3 linked regions of the Elephas maximus indicus genome follow. The protein of the gene in region 2 purifies or fractionates together with the protein of the main gene of each other region. This does not show direct contact. Links are inferred from orthologs where the notes say so. Each region holds a gene or a part of one and is shown on either strand. Other genes may lie near its edges.

Region 1 (3,747 bases), on a different chromosome or scaffold from region 2:
GAACCTATGCTTCTTGACTCCAAACCCATACACTTAATTACTCCACAGGAAAAGGTTTGGGTCTGATTTTCCTTCTAGGTTATACAAAGTAGAGATATTCACCTTTGAGACGTTCCCTACTTTCCCTTTAGAATGGTTTCTGTCATATAATTAGCACTCCAGGTAAGTCTTTAATGTGCATAAGAAAGGTAAAAACTGAATGCTTAAGATCCTAGACTAACACTAGGATATTCTTCTGATCGAACGTTTTCTTTGCCTCTGTTAAGACTTACTTAAGATTAAAGTGAAGCTTCTGTGCTTTTGGATATAGATGTTGGTTGAGGGACTACATCAATTAGTTGCTTATACAGGGCAGTTTAATCAAGGCAGAAAAGCTTCTAATATAATGCATATGTACCTTAAAGTGTAATTACCAACCAGGAGAGAATTAATGTTTATATGCCAGACACTGCACTAGCTGCTGTGGATATAAAATTGAATAAAAGATCGTTCCCTTCCCTAGAGATTGTAGAGGCAGACATTTAATCAAATGTGATACGGTGTGAGGTTTGTGTAGGGGTCACCAAACCTGCTCGTGGGGAGGATTCAACTTTAGGAAGGGGCAGTTAGTTAGGAAAGTCAACCTGAGGTGGAGCCCTTTTTGGATAGAAAATTATCAGTCCCCGGGCTTTGGAGGGCGGGGGCGGGCAGGCTGTGGGAGAAAACCTGTTGGTTGTGAGCCTCCTCCTATGCGACTTGCCTCAAGTTGTTGCCAAGCATTGGTCAAGACACTGCACTACTGCTAATGGGAGGTCATTTGTCAAGCGAGTTATGGCTGCTGACGGGGTCCCGCCGCAGGGGACCCCGGCAGGCGTCCCAGCAAACAGCTCTCCGGACCCTTCCACAGATATTCCACGCCACACCCGCGCGAAAGCACACTTCTCCACGTCGTAGCTTTAAAACCTGGGTTTCTACTTGTCAGGTAGGTCGTTCCCTTTTGCTTTTCCCTACTTTGGCCTTGCCCTGGCCGACGTCCCACGACCGGAGCACCGCTCCCTCGCCCTCGCTCAGCGTCCCTGGACCAGCTCGCAGCTCCTCCACTGCAGCCCCGGTCACGCGCGCCTTGCCCGGCTGGGGAAAGAGAGGAAAGGGAAGTGGGCGGGGCAGACATGCGAGCCTGCCCCTCCCGCCTGAGGCGGCTTCTCATTGGCGTAGCTTCCTCCTCAGCCTCCCGGCGCTTGAAGGCTCCGCCTCGGATTGGCTGATAGGCTCACGCTGGGCGTGGCCTACAGGGGAGGGCGGGAACGGAAGGGTGGGCGCGCTCTCGAGAGGAAGGGTTGCCTAGGCGACGCCGGGGGCGCGCTCGAGGGGTGTGGAGGCGAGCCAGCCCCGCTGAATGACAAATCGGTTGGGGACGGCTGGGGTCCGGCCCGGGAGGAGGCGAGAGAGGGGGCGGGGCGGACGGCCGAGGCGGCGGGCGCGGGACGTGTCCCAGGTAAGGGCGCCCACGCCGCGCAGGCACCTCGGGGGGTGGGGCGCGGGCTGCGGGAGCGGGCGCGCCGCCCTGCGCCTGGCGGCTCCTGGCCCCCGCGCTCCCCGCTCTCCCCGCGCTGGGCTGGGGCCGGGCTGGGGCCGGGCTGGGGCCGGGCTGGGGCCGGGCGCGTCCCCTACCGAAGCCGGAGGGCGACGCCCCGCCGCCTGCCCCGCGCCGGCCGGGAGGGTCGCCTGGAGAAAGCCCCTGGGGCTCCCAGCCGGGCGGAGGCTCGGGAGGCGGTGGCCCAGCCTCGCCCTTTTCACCGATCCTTCCCTTTTTCCCCTCAGATGGCCTCTGCTTCCATTTCCTGCCCTTTCGGGCCTCCAGCTGGACGACGGGCCACTTCCTCAGTCCCTTAGTTGCCGCGGTGGGCTGAACAAGAGCTATAAAGTGTTGCAAAAACTTATTATTGCCTTAGGAACTTGTGCGGAAGTGAGGCTGTGTTCTAAAAGCTGTTTTGTTTGGTTTTGGTTCTGTCTTGCAAATGGGTGTGAAGTTGTTTCTTTGATAGGGGCCAGCCCCGAGTGCACTGTGGTTTCTTAAGGGAAGCGCTCTGGACTTTAGCCGTTTTCCTGGACCAGGCATCGACACCCCTGTTCTTGTCTTCTTAGACGTGTATAAGATGATCTGTGGTTGGTTCGCAGCTGTTAGTGGCAGGGAAAGCAGCGCTGAGACTGCTCCTGTGAGCACTTCTCTTCGTGCTCATTATCAGATGCATTTTAGAAACGTTGACCATCAGGGTTGTTATCAGGTGAGGTTTCTGGGGAGAAGTTCTTGTGTCTCGTGGACTAATTTAGGATTGCCAGTGGAAGAGACTTGACTCATTTGTTCGTTTAAGTTATCTGTGATTTGACCCCTGCTTGGAACAGGCGCTCCTTGGAAGCCCTGAGGGGCAGTTCTACTCTGTCCTGTAGGGCCGCTGTGAGTCAGAATTGACTCAGTGGCAGTGGGTTTGGTTTGTTTTTTTTTGCTTGGAACAGGTTAAGTTCTCAGAAATGGGGTGACCATGAATGCGATCATTGAATATATTGGATAGAACAGGAGAGTTGGGTTTGAAAACCTAGGTTTGGTGCTGGTTCTGAAACTTTCCTAGTGGTGTGATCTGGAGCATGGTTTTTCACCCCTCTGTTTTTTTGAATGCCAGATCCCACAACTGTAAAAAAAAAAAAAAAAAAAGATAACTGTATGCCCAGCTCGCTAATTGTTAGAATTGAATGAAACAAGGACCGTTTAAAGTTTTCATTGTGACAGTGGGGGTTGGAATAGGGGTAGGGGTGGGAAGAAGGCTGTGAGTGGGGCATCTTTGGCCAGGATACAGATCCCTTGTCCATGTTTTAGTCAATACAACAACCTAGACTACAGAATGGGAGGGACCTTGGTGAACTCTTGTAAGGTTTCCATGTAACTTGTCTCAAGATGATATACAGGAGTCCCACTTTCATTGACTCCAGTTACTTCTATACAAACAGCCCGTCTGTTAGACATGCAAGACACTGGGGTTTTTTTTTTTTTTTTTTTAATGAACGCATGTTGCTTGAAAAGTCTGAATGTTAGATCAAAGAAAGAAAGTAACCAGAGAAATGGAGCTCTTTCCTAAACACATGGGGTAGGGGGAAAACTATGAGCATCAGCTATCTGCTTGGCACACACCCACTGATCTAATCAATGTGATGTTAATTGCCTAGCATTCAGCTCTGACTCATGGCAGCCTTATGAATGGGATTTTGCCCATTCCATCTGTGCCATCTTCATGATTGTTGGTATGTTTGAACCCATTGTTGGGGCTATCGTGTCAATTCATGTCATTGAAGGTTTCCCTCATCTTCCCTAATCCTCCACCAAACATGATGGCGCTTTCTAGTGATTGGTCTTTTTTGATGATGTGTCCAAGGTAAGCTAGTCAAAGTCTTACCATCATCACTTCTAAGGATCTAATCAAATCTGCTGCAAAAGACCTCTAATTTAAAGTGTTGCAAAGCAGTGATGTCACCTTGAGGGCTCAGGCGTGCCTGATTCAAGCTATGGTATTTTCAGTCACCTCATATGCATGTGAAACTTGGACAGTGAATAAGGAAGACCGAACGAAGAATGATTGATGCCTTTGGTTTATAGTGTTGGAGAAGAATATTGAATATACCATGGACTGCCAGAAGAATGAACAAATCTGCCAGGAAGAAATACAGCTAGAATGCTCCTTAGAAGCGAAGATATCAAGATTTCGTCTCACATACTTC
Region 2 (3,747 bases):
CTATATATAAATTGATCCATGCATCAGACCACTGATGTTGTACTCTCGGGATTCACACGAATGAGCCTGGATGCGTTCCTCAGGTCTTGGAGTTGCTTGGCAGGTTTCCCCACACCTTCTTCAAACCTGTTCTCCACCACAGGGAGGACTGTTTCATAGAGAAAGGATGCATTCTGTCTAATAAAGGCCTTCTTCTCTGGGTCCTGCTCACACCTCAGACTATAATCCACATGCTGGACAGCAACCAAAATGATCTCCATCAGGCTCTCCAAAAGCACCATGTGCAGCTCTGGGAAATACAGCTTCAGGGCCTCTTCCAAGAAGCCCATGGTCTGTTTGGTGAAAGCAACCACAGTGTAGCTGAGGTTCACCCAGCAGTCATCCCCTGTGTACTGCTCAAAATTACTCACCCCGCAACTCTTCATCTCTTCTTTGAGTTTACCCAGAGCCTCTGGAGTCATCAAGTTCATCCTCCTCCACATCTCCTCAGAATTGCGATGCTTAGTGGCTTCAATTATGATTTCCTTGTAACTGTGCAAGGCCCCCTGGATGTCTTTCACCAGAAGGGCATGGATGATGAAGGTGAGATCCAATCCAATATCTCCCAGCTGCTGACAATGCTCCTTGGCCACCTTTACACACTCTGCTGCTGTAGAGAGGCTCTCTTTACTATCAAACACCTGCTTGCTAAAAGCATTCACAAACATGCCCATGGCTGATCGCGCCCAGACCACAAAGGCAGAATAGCAGCCACTGTCAGTGCCTGCGAAATCTGTCTCAAATTCCCTTGCAGTCTCTAGAAGACTGGTAAAGAAGACATGACACAGCTTATGAATATACAGTAAGGTGGCACCCTCAATGCGAAGCTGTCTTATTGCAGTATGCACAGCGGCTGCCCTGTTTCTCAAAAACAGCTCACAAGCCTTAGTGCACTGGCCCAATCGGATGAGCTGAGAAACTGCTCTGCGAGTAGCCTTGGGACCGCCTCTCAGGGAACGATCTGGAGAGAGTTCAAAAACTAATACCTCAGTGAGCTGGCGAACACGCTCATCCACTTTGGCCCTTAATTCTTTCACAGGAGGTGGACTGGGCTTATTTTCTAGATAATGGTTCAACTTATCCAGCAGGTCCACGGCCCCTTCAAAATCCCTCTGAGCAATACAGACATCCAGGTCTTCTGGTAACTCCTGGATCCATTCCATTGAGAGGTCCACTTTCTCTTCCTCCACCTCAGGAACAACCTCTTCTTCTTCTTCTTCATCCTCGAATGGGTTACTGGCCTTGGAAGGCACTTGGGGCGGCCCTCGGGGGGCTGCTGCCTCCTCCTGCTCCCTTCGTCTTTTCTCACTAAGGGCCCTCTTGGTTTCTTCCAGCACTTCCAGCCACTCCCGTTTGATTTTTGCATTTTCCGCCTGAAAAATGCGGCTCTCCGGGAACATGAGCAGCTTGAACATGTCCTTCATGGGTGGGTTGTCCTTGACATTGACCACGGCCAAGCCATCTAGGGGGTAGAGAGCGTTGTAGCGATACATTCCCCGCCGCTGTGGCAGCCAGGTGGCCACCAGCAAACAGTCGTTCATAAGAAAACCATGCACCCGCTGTAGCTGGGCCATGTGGTCCGCCTCGTACTCCACCAGGTCCCCGTTGTACACCAGGTACTGTCCCGGCGTCTCTAGCAGGTGCCGGCAGCCTTCCACCTTCTCAAGAAGGGTGGTGAGGGTGCGCTGCTTTCCCTCCTCACCCGGACCTGAACTGTCGCGGGAGGCGCCCCCAGGGGTGGGGAAAAAGCCGACCTGGCCTCTGAGGTGGTCTCGGCCCCCCGCCCCACCTCCCCCCTCCTCCCCACCAGAGGCCGCGGCGGCTCCGGCGGCGGCGGCGGCAGGAAGCAGGGTGAGTGGGATGCTCTCCAGGCTGCTCTTCTGTTCGGTAAGCAGATGGCTGAGCTGATACATCTCGCTCTCCAAATAGGAGATCTCGCGGGCCGTCTCTATGAACTGCCGGTAGTTCTGGTACACGTTGCGCTTCAGGTTCTGCGCCGTCTCCTCCGCCAGCGCCTGGATGCGCTGCCGGTGCTCCTGGAGGTCCCGATCCCCGTCCGACTGCTGAGAGAGCTGTTTCACGTACAGCCGAGCCTCGAAGCCGCCCGACTCCAGCTGCCGCCTCAGACGGCTCGCCCCGCTGTCCGACATCGACATCGCCATTTCCGTCCGGCTCGCGGGCAGTCACTGTCAGTACAGCTGCCGCTGCCGAGACCCACCCAGCCGGAATGAGTTCCAGGCTGAAGAAGCAGGACGAAGCGAGGTGAACGCGCCTGCGCTCGGGTCTGAGAGTCGGGCACTGCGCTTGCGCAAGGAGCCGCGCTAGCGAGTACGCCTGCGCCGAAGCGTCAGCTGCTTAGGGCGCATGCGCCCCTAAGCGCTTTCGCGGAAGTGAGTGAGGGTGGAGGCAGTCGTGCAGGCTCTGCGCATGGATGGAGGCTGGTGTCTGGTGTTTGAAACTGTAGGGGCGGTATCAGCTCCCGGCGACTTCTCGGCCAAACCTGGGGAACTGAATTCTGCGCCAACTAAGAGGTGCGGATTTTCGTTAGCCCTCGAATCTTGGCTTCGGCGTCTTGGGGAAGGTCAGCTTTCGTGCTCGTTCTGAAGCCGGTATTCCGCCTTCTCGCGATAGCTGCTGGAAGCCGGTATCTCCTAGGAGCCGCCGGGGAGCAGCTGGGGGGCCACACAACCCGGCGCCATGGACGAAGACCTGGTTTTGGCCTTGCAGCTGCAGGAGGAGTGGGACTTGGAGGCCGCGCGATTCGACCGCGCCCAGGAACCCCTGTCGCTGGTGGACGCGTCCTGGGAGCTGGTGGACCCCACCCCGGACCTGCAGGCCCTCTTCGTGCAGTTCAACGACCGGTTCTTTTGGGGCCAGCTGGAGGCTGTGGAGGTGAAATGGAGCGTGCGAATGACCCTGTGAGTCCCGGCCGGGTGGGCCTCCTCTTCCACCTGCCCTGACAGCTTTAGGAAAGCTGCGGGGCCCACACGCTTGAGGGATAGGGACACAGTGAGAGCACAGGACCTTGACTCTCAACTCAGTTGAGAAGAAATGGACACATTTCCGATTTGTCCTGTGGTGGTGCCTTTTTTTTTTTTTTGCTACACATTAGGTCGTTAGAGAATGGATAGATAAAGCTTAACTAATCTTATGCTAAAAGAGCCCTGGTGGCGAAGTGGTAAAAGGACACCACCGCTAACCGATAGGTCTTTGGTTCAAACCCACCGGGTGCTCCGCGGGAGAAAGATGTGGCAGTCTGCTCCCATAAAGATTAAGGTCTTGGAAACCCAGTGGGGACAGTTCTGTCCTGTTCTATAGGGTCTCTGTGAGTCAGAATCCCCTCGACGGCAACGGATTTGATGGTTTTTCAGTTTAGTGCTTTAGGACCCAAGAAGGAGGAGCACCAGCGTCTGCCCCTAAGAAAAATGCCGGGAAGAAATCGCCAAAGAATGTGTTGTCTTCCTCTATACTCATTGACATGGCACCACTTAGTGTGTTGGACTGTGGAAGGAGGACTTTTCCATATTTCTGGACCCAAGGGATCTTTAATGATACTTATTAAAGATTTCTTTTCTACACTCTTTAAGTTTAAGAAATTCGGATTTGAAATAATAACCTACTCTCAGACATGAGAGGGCTTATCAAGTTTAGGGTGCAGTTGTATACCATCATGCTTGTTTCTGAATTACGAAACAACCTAGTGTCAGA
Region 3 (3,747 bases), on a different chromosome or scaffold from region 2:
AGTTGCCTAGATCAGGATCTCCAGATGTAACATCTGTAGTCTGTATTAGAAAACAACAGCAAACAAAACACCTCCCAGGTGCTTTTGATGCACTTGGTTGTTGGACCGGTGGAACTATTAGAATAAAGTACAAATTTCTCAACTCAGCATTTAAGGCTTTTTTCTTTATTTTTCCAAAATACATTTCCAGTCCATTTCTTGCTACTTACAGTTCTACATGCCAGTGAAAATGAGTTCTTGCTGGCTCTCTGGATTCTCCTCACACCTTCTGGTCACCCCTTTTAACCTTTAGGCCCCATCTCTCTTTGAAGTCTTCAAACCCAGATGTGATCCCTGAGCTTAATTTTCTAAACTTGCTTACTGACACATTCTGTTTTATATCATAGTTTTGGGCTTATCCAGCTTTTCTCCCCAATGGCCTGAAGGAACTTAGTTCCAAACCCAAAACCAAACCCATTGGTGTCAAGTGGAAATCCAACCCATAGTTAACCTATAGGACAGAGTAGAAGTGCCCTGTAGGGTTCCTAAGGCTGTAAGTTTTTACAGAAGCAGACTGCCACATCTTTCTCCCAGGGAGCGGCTGGTGGCTTCCAATCGCCAACCTTTAAGTTGGTAGCCCAGCGCTTAACCACTGAGCCACAACGGCTCCCCTCTTATTGTTTGCGCCTACAGAGCCTTTGCACTTTGCGGTAAAGGTGTTAAACAAGAATTTGTGGAATTAGTGTCACTGCCTGATTTGTTTACTCTTTTCATATGCAGTGTCGCTGTTCCCGGCTTAACGTGGGCTTTCAACAAGCATTTGTGGAACCAACGAATAATGAACGGCGTTCAGCCTAACATCGCCCAGAGAAATACAAAGCCCAGCATGCATTGCGTGGAACGTCGGCGGACGCGGTGACGCAAGGGGGCGTGCCGAGCCTGAGGGAGGGGTCGTCCTGCGGGTAGCCGGAGGCTGGGGTGGCCGTGGAGCCCGGGGTGAGAGAGGGAGTGTGAGGGAGCGAAAGGTGAACCGAGCTGAAGGAAGGGACGCGTTGCTAGGTGCCCCCGGTTTATGGAGCGGGGCAAGATGGCGGAGGCGGAGAGCCTCGAGACAGCGGCGGAGCACGAGCGGATCCTGCGAGAGATCGAGAGCACCGACACGGCCTGCATCGGGCCCACGCTCAGGTACTCCGGATACCCGGGCCACCGACGGGCGGACACGGGCGGGACCGGCGGGCAGAGTCCTTCGGGTCGGTCCGCCCGGCCGGACTCCCACAGCGCTGGCGTCTGCCCCTCCTTTCGGGAGCCCAGCGAGCGGCCTCCGCCTCAGTGAGGCGGGTCTCCCGCCGGAGCCCCGACGTAGGGTCCTTTCCCGGCCCGGCGGCCCCCCACAGCCCGGTCCTCAGGAGGAGCCTCCTGCCTCCCTCGGGCCAGGCAGCCTTCTTTCTCCCTTCGAGCCTTGCCCAGCGCCGGGCAACTAGAGATCACCCGACAGATGCAGAGCTTCCCCCTTGGGAACATCACCCTTCTCCTTCCGATTCGAACCCTCGTCCTGCCTTAGACATAAGTCCTGCTCTTCAGACAAAACGAAATTTCACCCCACGGTCCCTTGCCTAGAAATGATACTCTTGCCGCCTTAAAATCAAAACCACTTCTCAAAAACGAGCCCCTGAAAATCCTTGGCCCTGGAAAGAAAGTTTCCCTCAACCCGCGCCCCTTTCCTTGGAGCGGGTGCTCGCGAACCCTGCCAGGAGGATGACTCTTTGCAAAGGTGCAGCCTCATAGTATTCTCATGGCTGAGAAAAATTTGCCCCTTCTCCGCCCCCCGCCCCCGTTACACCCCAATTTTATTTGCAGATGTCAAAACAAACCCTGACCGATCCCAACTTACTTATTTAACAAAACTTAGGTAATGCTTCTTATATACGGTGCAAGACGTTATGTTAAGTGATTTACACATTTATTTAAACGCAGAACAACAACAACAAAATCCTACTAGGTGGGTATTATTAGTACTCTCATTTTACAGATGAAGCACAGCGAGGTTAAGCGACTTGCCCAGGGTCACAGAGAAAATAAATTGGAGAAGTCAAGATTCCTACTTAGGCAATCTGGATTCAGAGTCTGCACTTTTTTTAAAACAATATTTTATTATGTTTTCAGTGGAAGTTAACACAGCAAATTAGGTTCCCATTTGACAATTTGTAGAAAAATTGATCAGCGACGTTAGTTACCAGGGTCTGCACTGTTAACCGCTGTTGTTTTGCCTCAACTGGGAATTATCATCTGCCTTACTTTTTTGTTGATAATTACACACCAAAGCCCAATTTAGAGCTACTTTTCCCTTACCCTTCAGTTTAGCAATGCCCTAGAGCTAACTTATCCTCATCCTTTCAGTCTAGGTCACTGTTCCTCCCTTCAAAGAAGAGTTATGAAAGAGTAGTTGAAGGAGGGCCAGGCTGGAGATGACTTCTCAGCCCCAGCTGCAATTCCTTCTCCAGGGTGCATTGTTAGCACAGTTTTCCCAGTGTCATCCCTGGACACTTTTATCCTCAGGTTTTGCCTTCTGTCCTTTAAAGTGACTTTTGGTTCTCTTTTTGGATCAGTTCTTCAGCACTATGGGTATCTTACTCTCCCCTCTGCTCTCATACATTATGATCATGATGACCATGCTTTTCTCATTAAGCTGTTCACGGTGAATGATCCTCATTTCCTAGTCTTTGTTTTTCCAGAAACTAAGGGCTACTTACTAGTGTCCTACTAAGGGCCTTAATAGTTGTTAATATTTGCTTTTTGTAAAATAAAATGTTACTGGAGTTTACTGAGGATGCTGTTTTCAATAGTCTACCCAGAAATTTGACCACTGAGTTGCAGTTGACAACCTAGCAAAGCACCATCAGTGTTGTCTTGAACTGGTTGTGGTTTTCAAAGTTCTTGTTTTATATGATGGATGGACTTTAGTGTTGTCAGTTTAGTTTGTAGTAGTTTATTAGGTTAACTCTCCACTGAATAATGATACATATTTGTATCAACTTAGTTTTGGCCCGTAATTTTTCTAGTGTCTTGACTTTAAGAATATATGTATTTTGGTTCAAATGTAAATTACCATTCTTCCTAAAACTTGCTTCATTATGATCACAGAGTTCTTTTTCCACTGGGAAGTGGGCTTTTATGGGGTAGATAGATTAAGATATATTTTGCCCTAAGGGAGCACAGTTAGAAAAAAATGCACTGTACCAACAGCTTTAGTTGCTTTTCCTGACTCCCTGTATCATTATTAGGGGCTTTTCATTTTTTGTTCTCATCTTTTCTGTGGCAGATAACCCTAAATCTTACTATCAGACTGAAGATTTAATCACCTGAACATCGTAAAGTCGTACCTACTATCTTTGTCTTTAGCTTGCCTCTCCCCATTTTCACAGGTAATGATCTCACCTTATTTGCTTATTCCATTCAGAGGCAGTAGCATGCACAGACTTGATGTTTCAGATCCCATGCCTTATCCTGGATGCACCTCCATCATTATTATATTTTGTTTTTCATCACAGTCCTTAGAGAGGTTTGACTAAGGTTATAAGCACTCTTCTTTAACTCTCCTCAGCTGTAAACCCCACACTCCTCTATCCCTCTTCATATTATGTCTTTCCAATTTTTTCGATCTTTTGAGGTGGCTTTTTTTTTTTTAATTAATTTTTGTTGTGCTTTAAGTGAGAGTTTACAAATCAGGTCAGTCTCTCATACAAAAATTTATGCACACCTTGCCATATA

What was found.
Region 1: the proteins of EXOC8 (region 2) and RALB purify together in Homo sapiens (affinity purification with western blotting; 6 studies listed by BioGRID and IntAct, counting the BioPlex papers as one, with this or other methods). This does not show direct contact. The link is inferred for Elephas maximus indicus from reciprocal best matches to the Homo sapiens genes EXOC8 and RALB.
Region 3: the proteins of EXOC8 (region 2) and EXOC6B purify together in Homo sapiens (affinity purification with mass spectrometry; 3 studies listed by BioGRID and IntAct, counting the BioPlex papers as one, with this or other methods). This does not show direct contact. The link is inferred for Elephas maximus indicus from reciprocal best matches to the Homo sapiens genes EXOC8 and EXOC6B.

Annotation. Positions count from the first base shown.
Region 1 is NC_064824.1:19,086,380-19,090,126, reverse strand, and holds the start of RALB (ras-related protein Ral-B), read left to right. Parts: upstream 1-1,349; 5' UTR 1,350-1,474; intron 1,475-3,747. UniProt on the Homo sapiens protein: Multifunctional GTPase involved in a variety of cellular processes including gene expression, cell migration, cell proliferation, oncogenic transformation and membrane trafficking.
Region 2 is NC_064842.1:33,316,371-33,320,117, reverse strand, and holds the start of EXOC8 (exocyst complex component 8), read right to left. Parts: upstream 2,328-3,747; 5' UTR 2,202-2,327; coding exon 24-2,201; 3' UTR 1-23. Other genes in the region: DNA-dependent metalloprotease SPRTN, read left to right, coding at 2,737-2,957. UniProt on the Homo sapiens protein: Component of the exocyst complex involved in the docking of exocytic vesicles with fusion sites on the plasma membrane.
Region 3 is NC_064835.1:63,082,637-63,086,383, forward strand, and holds the start of EXOC6B (exocyst complex component 6B), read left to right. Parts: upstream 1-933; 5' UTR 934-1,051; coding exon 1,052-1,164; intron 1,165-3,747. UniProt on the Homo sapiens protein: Component of the exocyst complex involved in the docking of exocytic vesicles with fusion sites on the plasma membrane.